2 linked regions of the Danio rerio genome follow. The protein of the gene in region 1 purifies or fractionates together with the protein of each later gene. This does not show direct contact. Links are inferred from orthologs where the notes say so. Each region holds a gene or a part of one and is shown on either strand. Other genes may lie near its edges.

What was found. The genes of interacting proteins can lie anywhere in the genome.
Region 2: the proteins of tsc22d1 (region 1) and nrbp1 purify together in Homo sapiens (affinity purification with mass spectrometry; 6 studies listed by BioGRID and IntAct, with this or other methods). This does not show direct contact. The link is inferred for Danio rerio from reciprocal best matches to the Homo sapiens genes TSC22D1 and NRBP1.

What each region holds. Positions count from the first base shown.
Region 1 is NC_133184.1:20,414,484-20,421,016, forward strand, and holds the start of tsc22d1 (TSC22 domain family protein 1), read right to left. Parts: upstream 4,470-6,533; 5' UTR 3,919-4,469; coding exon 1,319-3,918; intron 1-1,318. UniProt on the Homo sapiens protein: Transcriptional repressor. Acts on the C-type natriuretic peptide (CNP) promoter. Acts to promote CASP3-mediated apoptosis.
Region 2 is NC_133195.1:28,698,351-28,704,857, reverse strand, and holds part of nrbp1 (nuclear receptor-binding protein), read right to left. Parts: exon of another isoform or gene 5,829-6,507; intron 4,708-5,828; exon of another isoform or gene 4,103-4,707; coding exon 4,049-4,102; intron 3,957-4,048; coding exon 3,893-3,956; intron 2,991-3,892; coding exon 2,935-2,990; intron 1-2,934. UniProt on the Homo sapiens protein: Required for embryonic development. Plays a role in intestinal epithelial cell fate and proliferation, thereby involved in the architectural development of the intestine potentially via the regulation of Wnt-responsive genes.

The DNA of each region.
Region 1 (6,533 bases):
GTGTAAACGGGGCCTAAGATGATTTTGTCGGAAAGCATATCTACATAACAGGGCTGCACAATATATCAGTGTTGAAGGTAATGATTAATTAAATATCTCATTACTTCATCGTAAATGGAGTAAGTTCACAGTACTCATATAGATTAGTTTAACTCGATTGATTTGTAGCAATCGGTTTCCTCAAATGCTTTAAGTTGCCTTAACTTATTGAATTTTAAAGTGTATGTAAAATGCATTTGGCATTCAAGTTTGCTTTGAACTTGAAAGAGAGCGAGAAAAAGATTTTACCCTGTCAGCGTGTGCACATGGCTCCTGAATAGCAAAAAAGTAAGCTAAATAGTAGATTTTTTTTCCAACAGTCTTTCTTATTTTAACCAATTTAAAAAAAAAAAAGTGTAAAATAATCTCATAAATAAAATTATTGTTAAAAATTTAATTATGTTTTGTTTGTCACTCATTAAATATTTATTTGATGTGGGTAAAAGGTGTGTTTCAATCCGGTGACCAGCGCAAGTATATTTCAAACCTGTGGGAAGCACTGTATACAATTAATGTTTAAGCTACAAATAACTACCTGATTTACTGTCACAAGCCTGAAAAACACACACAAATAAAAACTCACTCTAAGTTTAAACTTTGCATTGACTCCACTGTAGTGTCTGGTCAACTATAATCCCAGTTCAACATTGCACATCCTGCAGTGTGAATATTGCAGAGTCACATGTTGCAAAATCTATGCTGAAACAATATATTGTACAGGCCAACTTTCTAGAATGAAAAAGTCCCTATCAGTAACACCCACACACACACACACACACACACACACACACACACACACACACACACACACACACACACACACACACACATCCGACTAGCATTAAAAAAAAGTCTGAGGCTGTGAGGTAAACAAAAGACTACAGGCTCAACTTCCTGTCTCAATAGGAAATGTCAAGTTCATAAATACTGCACTATCAAGTGATTTCATGTGTGCCTTTTTCCCCCCAAGCAGACCGAAATTCTTGTTAGGTGAAAGCATAATCTTTCTGTCTGTAATACCAAAGATACAGTCTAGCAGTCTACAGTTTTAGGTTACAAAAAAAGCTATGCTTGCGATTTTAGCTATGCTGTGGAAAGCCATCGCCCTGCTGTGATATTCACTGCACACTACAATTTGTTGATAGCAGTTGATTAAAGCATAATGCTGATCACCATGCTGAGCTGCATGTGTGATTTTTTTAATAAAGCTGAAATAATTACAAACTAAATTGAACTGAAATAAGCAATGCAATTAAAAAAAACAAGCAGTGGAACTTACCCATCCTCCTCTCCATCAACAGGTAAACTCTTCAGCAGGCTGGCCGAGGCGGATAAGGCATTGACTCCACTGCTTCCCTCTGGACCACGAGAGGTACCGGTTTGGGAGGCACTTTCACCACCGGCTGGCTTGGTTTGTGCGAGCAGAGCCTGGTGCTGTAACAGAAGTAGCTGGGCATCCTCCAGCGGCATCACCGAGGGCCGGGTGCTAACAGCAGGTTGCGGCCCAGTCTCCTTTGAGCCGTTCTGAAACAAACTGGACTGGGGATCACTTTGAATGTTAGGAGGCACGCTTGATGAGGTCACGGCTGGGACGAACTGGGTGCCACGGGCTTGACTGCCGAGCTGTGACTGCTGCTGCTGCTCCATGGAGGGTTGTGAGGTGAGCTGCTGGCCTGGTGTCTGCTGTATAAGAGTGGTGCCAGTGGACTGCACCAGCTGCGGCACAACCTGGACCATCTGCGGGGCGGGTGTCTGTTGTGGCTGCAGGAGCCCTTGCGGAAGTGGCTGAGCAGTAGGGGGCTGCGAGGAGGGTGTGATCATCTGACCATTACCAGCGAGAGCCACAGGAGGGATGGAGGCGGACAGGTGGGGCAGAGTTTTTGTTGACCCAGGTGGCACAGTGCTCAGGATCTGCTTGGATTGGGAGAAGTCAGATGGCAGGCTGCCTCCCTGGCTTAAGGGGTTAACATGTGTTGGTGCTACCTGGGCTGGTGCAGCTGGCTGCTGTGCGGGCGGATAGCCCATCTGCTGCTGGGTCACCACAGGCAGAGCTTGAGCAGGAGGGGATTGGGCTGCTTGGGCATATGTCAGTTTGGGCATATGAGAGGGTAGAGGTGCAGACGATTGAACAATCGTGGTCTGCAATCCTCCGATAGATGCAGGCGGTTGCTGCTGAATGTTTGCTGTTGCCGGCATCGGAGCTGCTGCATTCGTTTTAAGATGCACTTGAACTAAGTCTTGGGGTTGCATCTGAGACATGGGCTGCTGGAAGGTCTGCTTCACAGTAGAGGGGCCGCCCGTTTCACCGCTGCCCAGACTTTCAGTGTAATGGCTAGCTGAGCTGCTGACAGAGCTCCCGCTGACTGTGTCTCGGTCCTGTCCCGCCACACTTTCAGGCACACACTGACGGATACTTTCCACTGTTCGGGTGCTAGGGGCATTTTCAGAGGATGCCACATTTGGGGCTTCCTTATCATAGTACTCTGTACAAGTCCATCTACCCTTCTTAAAAGGCTCAGAGGTAGAGTCCAATTTGACCACTCTGAAACGTGAACTGGTGGAGGCAGGAGTAGGCACTTGGGCCTGCTGAGGCTGAGCGCTCATCACTGGGACAGAGGGTGCAGGCATTGCATGCTGCCCCATGACAGCTGGCCCCATTTGCCCTCCACCTGTTGACGCAACACTACCGGAAACCGTGGCAGCAGCGGTGATGCCCATGCCGATTATTCCACTGGGAACGTGGGTCAAGTTTGGGGTTTGGTTACTAATACTATTCAAAGCAGAGGAGTAGTTTACACTGCTACTATTGGTAGTCTTGCCACCCACAACAGGCACACTGGCAGAGTTTAACACGGAAACATTATTAGTTAAAGTATTACCAGTACTAATCGTGGCACCTGAAGTCACAGAAATCACTCCAGTTCCAGAGGCGAGAGTAGCCAAAGGCTGTCCGATGGCACTAGTTGTGCCAACAGAGGCATTCTCAATCAATCCCACCACATTTGAAGGCATTTTCTGGCCTGTGCTAGCCGAACTTGAGGTCACCACAGATGTGACCGGGGCACCCAAAGGTACCCCAATCAGTGTCCCTCCAGCAGGATGGGTTTTTCCAGAGGAAACAGGATTATGATGGTGATGATGGTGGTGGTGGTGATGGTGGTGGTGAACAGTTCCGTTAACCATGGTGCCATGCAGGTGTGCTTGGGTTATAATGGGTGGCTGGTTGGGTGACAGGGCACCAGGGGTCTCCGCCTCATGAAAATTATTCAGCGTCTCCTCAGAGGAGCTTCTTTCAGGACCTCCTGAATTGTTGGCCCGTGGAAGAGACACATCCATGATTTCAGAGGATGACAAGTCCTCTGTGTGGGACTCATCCAGGTCGTCACAACTCTCTGTGTCTTCTGTAATGCTGTTGTTGGTGCTCACAGATGTCTGCGCCGGGGTGACGCTGGTGATCTGGAAGCCACTCTTCTTCTTCATCTGTGCAACTGCAGTGGGCAACGTTTGGGGTAACATGGGTGTCTGCAAGGGGATACTCAGGCTATGCGGAGGGTTCTGGGGCCCGAGCGAGGACGCAGTCTGCGTTTGAGACTGAATCAGCACTGGTGGGGAATATTCATCCGCCAGCATCAAGTTGTTGCTATTAAGGCTGGTGCTTGCTGAAGTTGTCAATGTAGAGGAACCACCTACTGTGCTGCTGCTGTTCTCCCGTCTGGGTAAACTCATGGGGTAAACCATTTTTCGGGCGCTGCCGGAGTCTCCGGATCGTTCGTGGTGATTCATTGCTGGAGTATAGTCTCTGACAAAGTTATAAACGCAGCTCAAGAGAACAAGCTCTTTTGGGAAAGCAACTTCAAGCCGTTCGAGTAATTTCCACATAAAACCAACACGTTCTTCTAACTGCCACAATAATTCCACTTGAGGTGTATTTAAATGTCCACCATGAGGAGCAGGCTAATGCCAATGCTAAGTTAACAGTCGCTAGCGAGCTAGCCGACACGGATTCGCTTCGGCTGTTGTTTTCAAAGGTATATCCTCACTAAATCACTCAGCACACCATATCGGTGAAGTTTAAGCGTGCAGGAGTCGACACAGACGGCCGAGGCGATTAATATCCAACCTTATAACGACACGGTTTCTCCCCATCACAGTTCAAACTGCCAGGCGCATTTTCAATTGTTGTATCGCAGTCACCAGAGCACGAAATCACACGAAACTAAGTCCTCCAGCCGGCGTCAGATGACAGAGAGAAAGCGAGCAACTCAGCGCTGTCCTGCTTTATTCCATCCCGTGCTTTCTTTTGTTTTATTCCTGTGTTAGCGCAATGTCTCTCTCCCACTCTGCTCCTATTCACCAGCTGCCTCCTTGTAATGTAGCCTGTGCTAGTGCTATGAGCCTGTGACGAGTCCCCGAAAAGGGGAGGAGAGCGCGATAACATGGCGACCGCGCATGGCAGTTCACGTCCACCCGGCCAGACATAAAGCCCAGAGAGTCTGGCGAGGATGGGCGGAGGCGAGGAGGGAGGGGGGTTTCCAGGAGACGGTCGACGAAGAGTTCCGAAGAGGCCCGAGTGGAGCCGAGTGCGACCAACTGTGTTGGTTGAGGGGTGTTTCTTATTATAGCCTTCGGTAACTGTGGCAGCAAACACTCAGAATAACATCTTTTGTCCGCCGTGGTTATTATTATTTGACATTGAAGGAGAGACGAAAAAGGCAGGGCATAGATTTCTGGTTCCCAGTTTTAAATGTATAAAATTTTATATTTATAAAAATCGACTTCAGATTTAATTTTGAACATAAATTAATTATAAAATATAACCTACTACAGATTAAACATATGAACGATTAAGCAAAACGCTATTTTAAGTTAGCTGCTATTGTGTGTGTTGGCCTATACAGGCCAGCTACATCAACAAGATGCAAACAGACCTTGTGACAACAATGTTGTCAACATAGTCCAGAGATTTGTTCTGTTTTTACAAAACAACTCGTCTGAAAGAGAACCCAGATATTTCCACAGACAGAAAAGAGCAACCAAACACATCTGCACTGACACAGTTTTTTTTTTTCACACAATCTGATTGTTGCTGTTTGGGGAGCAGAGAACTAAAGTTCTAGGTGCAGCAGACACAAAAAAAAAACATTCAGCTGTTTTACTTTAACATGAATAATATCCAAAATGTGAACTCAAAATATATGCTTTGTTTCAGACAAGCTACACTATAATACAACAGGAATTTATTACATGTGTGCTGATCCAACTATATTTAGCTTTCAGCTGTGATTGTGAGAATACCATCTTTGTTGTCTGGAACAAGTTTCGCATTATAAACCTCAGATATTTATACCCACACTGATTATTTATACATTCTACCAGAAACTTATACAATCTGTCTCTGAAATAAAAAGATAAATGCAGTGAATAAAAACTTCTTCATCCCAACAATTTCTAAAATGGATTGATAGTGGATTTTTGTGAGTTGTTCAGGAAAGGAATTTGTCTGACAAATCATTTGGTTCTTAGATTTTTGTTCTCAGATTTTTTTATTTTTGTTTACAAACCCAGTCATTGTGTCATATGTGAAAATGTAATAGAATATGTGAAAATTTAATATATAATACATTTTCTAAATGACAATATTCTTATTTGTAATTCTGAAAACACCTTATCAGAGTACTATTTTTTCTTCTACAACACAAATGAACATTTAACACAAACGGACCTACTAATGGCAAATCCAGAGAACAGATAATGATTTTAAAGACTCTTGTTAATTTTTTGAGCATCTATGTGTAAAAATGCTTGTTATATGTAAAAATATTCTGTTTTGTGGGCTAAGCTCAGGCCCACAGCAAGCCTGGTGAAAGTGGTGGTTCTCAAAAAGTGAACCTTTTTATAGTTGTACATCTACATTTTCTTTCCCAGAGGTGAGTTGCAGCTGAAAGGGCATCCGCTGCGTAAAAACTTGCTGGATAAGTTGGCGGTTAATTCCGCTGTGGCGACTCCGGATTAATAAAGGGACTAAGCTGACAAGAAAATGAATGAATAAATGAATCTACATTTTCTATTTAATTATGAGATTTAAATACATTTTAAGCATTCATTTAGCTGGATTGGCTAGTCGGATTAGCTTGAAATATGAAAAAAATACTTATTTTTTAAAATACAAATTTATTACATTTATATATCATTATGGAAAAAATAATCTGTTTTAAATTAAAAACAAGCCTATTGTCATTTATTTGGCAAAATATAAATAACAAACTGTTCAGCACATTTAACGTTCCTCTTTAAAAAATTTGACCATTTGAATAATAATAATAATAATAATAATAATAATAATAATAATAATAATAATAATAATAATAATAATAATAATAATGATAATAATAACAACAATAATATAGAGCTTCACAATGTTTCTAGTCTCTCTTGTAAAACATGTAATTTGATGGGTTTTTCGATAGGTTATTTTCACTATTTATGATGGCATA
Region 2 (6,507 bases), on another chromosome or scaffold:
GTAAACAACTAGAATTAAATAAATACCTCCAATATAGACTAGTCGGAAAAAAAAACTATTCTCTTTACTGCAGCCATCTTAACTAAGTAAACTAAAATTAAATAAATAACTGCAGTGTAGACCAGTGAAAGATCTTCTTCAAAAACACCATAATATCCACATTCTCCGATGAGAGGCTTGATCTCTGTGCTGACACAGACGCTCATTTTTGATTATATGGTTTCATTTAGATAGATAGGTTTCCGTTTAAATTAATGAAAAATATACATATAATGTGTTTGTAAAGTGTTTTTTCATGACATATTCACCAGTAAAATACATTGCGGTTGTGTCTGAAACTAATGTTAGGGTTGCAGCCGGCTGTATGTTTGCCTCCCGATCTCTCACTCTCTCTCTCTCTCTCCCGCTCCCTCTATGCCGGTCATTTATGTAGGTCCGCCTTCATGAAAGCTGATGCCTGTCATTTCTGTAGGTCCGCCTTTTTAACAGCTGATTGGTCAGGAGACCGACCTATCATCATTTGGCGACGCAGCGCGGGAATGTAAAAAGCAATTCAGGAAGAGCGGGAGAGAGAGCGCTTTTTCCTTTGATCTCGTTTTTCGTGTATTTTTCTGACATGATTATGATTTTCGTTGTTTTTGCTTAACTTTCGCTTGGGTAAAATTATTTTGCATTACTTTTGCCCACTTTAAGAAATTTTGTGAGGTTTGTACATTTTTATTTCAATTGATTTGTATATTATTTTTTAGCTCCGCTCCTTCCCGACAATATAGCTGTATCCTCAAGTTCAGTCTTAGTGTAAGGTGGATAGGGAAAATGTCATACGATTTCCATTTTGCAAACACGTAGAAAATGTATTGTTAAAGACATCAGGTAAGAGGTGAAGGTCATCTTTGTTTATTTTATTCAGTATAGGGAAGAATGCGGCGCACGGCGCTGAAGACCTTTTTTTTCTTTTCATCAGTTTTAGCGAGGTAAGAGGGGTTATTCATGAGTTAGAAGTATTTTATTATATTTATTTCTTTTGTTTGTCTTCACTATCACCCCCTTGTTCGAGTTTAACTAATTTTTGTTTGATACTTTTGTTTGAATTTGTTACTTTATTATATTATTTTATTAGTGTAAATATTACTTTTTTTGTATATTTGGGCATTATTCTGGTTTTACTTTTGTACATTAAATCACTCTTGTTGGCAGTTCTGTTGCTTACACCCTCACATTGTGAAATTACCACACTTTTTAAATGTTTTTCCTTACAAGTAAGTTTCGTGAAACAGTTGAGACAGACAGGCAGGCGCTTTGTCTACGACACAAATTCTATTCCTGTACTCAACTGGAAAACCAAAATGTTTCCACACAGATGACTTAAATGTGTCTGGGGGATCTGCAATCTCAGTACTATGTGAAGCAGCCATCCTGCGTCCAGTAGTAACGAGTGTGATGCAAGTCACATGACATAACATGCACTAAAATACTAACTTTAGAATATAATATTTAGAACAAATCCTCATCATTACTAAAACAATTTAATCAAATATGATATTAAAGATGTGTTTAAATTGGTTCAATTAGTTAGAGACAAGTGACGTCAACCTCAACAATGGGCAGCAGGGGGCGTGACTATTTCGGTTTGGTTTTAATATCGTTACACCCCTAATGTCCGAATTCATAGAACTCGAAAATCAGTAGGGGAGAAGTACCAGGATGACTTACTACTTCCGGCGAGATTCTGAAATGCGCATCCCATGCACGCTGCGCTATCCCATAATGCCCCATGAGAGAATTCATGAATGGAAGTGAGGAGACGCAACTGACGCAGGTAGGTCACGTGACCATGACAAACTGGCGGATGTAGTACGTCCGAATTCCATTCATACTTTTCACATTCATACTGTATAGAGCGTACTTTTTTAACGGCTGAGTAGTATGTTTAAATTCAAATGCAGTAGCTACTGAGTAGTAGGCGGTTTCGGACACAGCCTTAACTTTGTGACAATTGTTTTTTTTTAAATGTCAATCTTCATTGTTCAATCTGGATTAGTTTGATCTTACCAATACTGATCCAAGACAATAACATACCACCAATGAAAGATGAAATAGAAAAGTGGCCTAAAAAAAAGCAGTGACCTCTTACTGGACCAAGCAATAAACTATATACCTCATGAAATATACCAGAAAGAGCTCTGAGGCTGACATTACAGATTAGGATGTGTATGATTTTTTTCAATCCAACGATCATTAAGCATGTACTTATTTCATTTAATCCACACAAAAAATATATTTACAGTTAAATTTGATTCAAATTAAGTACTTTGGTTGATATTTACAAACGTTGTGGTGAAATGACACTAATGACACTATTTTAAAGTATAATTGTTAGTGTTCATGTAGATTAAAGAATCCTTATTAAATAGGTTAAAAATAAAAATTTTATATTTTAAATTACAAACAATTATACATTAATAAGTTTTATAATAAATATATATTTTGAATAAGTTACAAATAAACGCATATGGGTCAAATAGGAGTTGTCCAATTTTAGTGACCACGTTAAATAAAATTGTCAAAAGAATTTAATTATATTGCATGCACATAAAAAGAAAGTAATGTCTACTTCAAAACTTAACGCTTTAGTAACTAAACATAAAAACATGGATTATGTTTTGAAACATGACACTTATGTTGAAACGAAACGACATGCTTGTCCTGACCTGTGCATATCAAAATATAACATGTCATTAAATAATTCTTGTAAATATGCCTGGTAAGATTTTAAAACAAAAACTATTGATAGAAAAACTGAAATTTTGGTGTGAATCTTTAGGAAATGGTGAAAATAAACAAAATACAAATGTTATGTACAACTGGGAAAAAACAAGGTCGTAAAACATTTAAAAATTGTTGTGTTCAGCACATCTAAATGAAGCTTCTTACCTCACTAATGAAACCAAGCTGGACCAGTTCCACAGCCAACTCCTGTACATTCTCATCTAACACACACACACACACACATCATTCTTAAGTTAGTACTGTTTTTGCAATAATTACACATGCAGCTTATTTATTCCACATGCTCATGTTTAGATAGAGTGTTGCGTTTCTTTGATATTATTATAGTAGGTAGTGCTGTCGCCTTGTTTGAGCCTCGGCTGGGTCAGTTGATGTTGTGATGTTGTTGACCCCAAATTATTAAAGGGACTAAGCCGAAAAGAAAATTAATAACTGAATGTCTCTGATTATTTTACTTCTAGTTAAATTGGGTAATTTTTTTTGGGTTATCATTTGTATAAAAAAATATAATTATTTTTGTTTTGTGTTTATAAATATATGCAAATTAGAATTATAAATAATAATTCAGTATAAATAATTCATAATTTATAACATACGTGATGTTGCATTTGTGTCTGCATCAAATAAAATTGATAAATATGATAAAGAAAGCAATCAAATGAAGTGTCCAAATACTAATTAAGTTCTAATCATTTTAATTTTATGAAAATTAGGTGTCAACATGTGGCAATTCTTAATCAATCTGATGCACTTCTGAACAGCTCTAATGCTTCACTGACAGTTCAGAACAAAAACAAGAATGTTAGACCTGAAACATAAAACATAACTATGGTTTAAATCCCTGCTGGATTAAACCGAACATGTACTCGGGTAGCTAGCTAACAGTTTTACCATCTCAGCAAGCTTCTGAGCTAAGCTGACTTGAAAGACAAAACCGACTGCACTGATGCCCATTATAGCATCTCTTGCAGCTGAGAACGCAACACACTTGTGCAGCATTGTAACACGTTTAAGGGCACGACAGAATGTGAAATCCAACTGTGTAGCTGGAAGTGTTTACATAGTTGTGTAGAGTTTGTTTGAGGCCTGATAAAATACTCACTTGGTGCCAAATCACAACTCAAGTGTCGGTTCAGCTTATCTTCCAGTTTTAGAAGTAAGGTCAGCTATAAAAAGAGAAGTGAAGAGTTATGAACGTAGACTAAACCTATAACATCAGCCCAGTAATAAACACAGGGGACACAAAAAAAGAACTTACATGATGTTTCGCTCCTTCCTCAACAGGCTCAATGTTGCACTGCATCTGTACGACCTTAAATGAGAGAAACAGAAAGCGAGCGAGCGAGAGAGAGAGAGAGAGAGAGAGATTATGACAAAACACATGACCCCAAATAACCTAATAATAAAATAAATAATGCTGACTATATCCCATACAAATGTTTATAAAAAGTTCAAATTATGGTTTTATGGATTTGTTATGAAATACAGTAGCCTAGTGACATTTAGAATAAATATACAACCACCACCACAAGCATACATCATTAAAAAAGGAAAATACAGTATATTCTATTACTTCTAAAATGTTAACAATATCATAATAATTGATATAAACATTATTTTATCTAAACTAGTTACTATTTAATTCAAGTTTATCTGTATGGCACTTTTCACAATAATTATAGTTTCAAAGCAGCTTTACAAAACATTATTGCATTACAATCAAATTTAGAAAAGTTAAGGTTATCAATTACCATAACTTTATAAGCTACTAACAATTTTAACTAGTAACTAATAGCTTTTAACAAGTACTATAGCTTTTTACAGTTAACACATGTCAACTGAAGAATTTTTTATCTGAGCTGAGCGTATTTTTTCAGTTGATGCCAATAGAAGCACTGTTTTCAGTACACCAGGGGCCTCATGTACGAAGACTTGCGTGGAAATCTTACTAAAACATTGCGTACGCACAAAGCTGTAAATGTGCGTACGCAGAAAAAAATTCAGATGTATGAAACACTGCGTACGCCGAATCTCACGCATATTCTTTTGTACATCTGAATGAACGTGAAACTGAGCGCAACATGCACGAGCACAAAACCACTCCCTGCCTCCTCCCCCGTATGAATATGCTAATGACTATGCTAATTGCAAAACCCAACGAAAAAGCAACGGCAAAATCAAGCAAAAAGAGAAACTTTGAACAGAATGTGAACTGGAGGTGCTGCTTTCGGAGGTAGACTGGAGAAAAGCGGTGTTATTTGCAAGTTTGTTCTCCGGAATTAACAACAAAAGAAAAAAAATAGAGTGGGAGAGTTTAGCTGATACGGTTAACACAGTTGGGTCTGAACATCGCACTGAGTGCATTAAAAAAGAAATAGTGTGGTTTATATCTGTAAAATGTTGCAGTTCTCTTAGCAGTCTCAGTGGCGCACCTCATAAGAAGCATGTGATCATGTACTGACACGCTCGAGCATAAACTCGGCTCGAATCCAGCGTCTGATAAACTCTTTCTTCTTTTTTCCCTGCTACATATCAGATTTTGCCCACTATTTATCACGAGAAAGACAAGTAGGAATCACCAATAAGTTTGTGCATCATATTTTATTTGCACATTTATTGAATGGTAATGTTTCTGATTCACGCATGCAAATTCATCTTCAGATAGTGTCTTTATAGCAATGTGCGTGCAGTAGATAGCTCAGATTACATTGGGAAAACAGGCGACCGCTGCAAATTGTGCTTTAATGTTTAGCTGGTCAACTGTATGGTATGGAAACCTTATATACCTGCTAGATGAACCTGTCTCATACAGACGCCATTGCAAGGATCAGACACTTTGTAGAGAGGAATTTAACACAACTGCCTCTAGGAGTCGCCAATGGAAATAAAACAGACACGCACAAAAAATGTGCGTACGCCTGCCAGAAAGCTGCCGTGAAGCTGCGCACATTCCCACGTTCAGTTCATTGTTAGTAAATCCAAACGTGAGCAATTCTGAGCGTGAAACCTGGCGTACGCAAAGTTTTTTTTTCCCCAGCAGTACACCAGGAGTGTCTGTTTCACATGAAGCGCTAAGTGCTTTTTAAATCCACAAAAAAATTAAAAATAAAACACACTGTGATAGACTTGTAGACAACTGTATTGTTGGAGCTTAATGTTTCTGCCATTTTCCAATTTAGTGCTGATAAGAATGATAGCTCTTGATTTATTTGGCTTTAAAACTAGCGTAAGTCACTAAGACATTATGGATGCTGAAATAACATTCTTCTGAGCTGATCTCATACTGCTGTTTACTGCATGATGTGAGAAAAATTAAAACAGTAACTGCACTAAAAGTGAACGGAATAGCTTTACTTGCTTAAACCATGGCCTAAAAGAACCACAAGATCTCGACAGTTTGATCTATTAAACGCTTTACTTTTGGAACATTTCTTTTAATGACCCATGCAGCATGTGGTTAGAATGTGTGGTACCTTTTCGTTTAGCTTTTTGTGCGAATAGAATATCAGTTTGTTGTGACTGGTCTATCTACTAGTCAAAAATTATATGCCCTTAACCATATCTGAATTTCAGTAACAGAAGCTTTCTTAGGTAAACCTAGTAATCAAACTGAAATGTTGTTGAGCCCTTGTTCTTGGGAAGGACATGCAAAATGAATTGCCTCTATAACACAAAAACAACAACAGTAATGTTGACAACATAAACCAATCTCTTTGA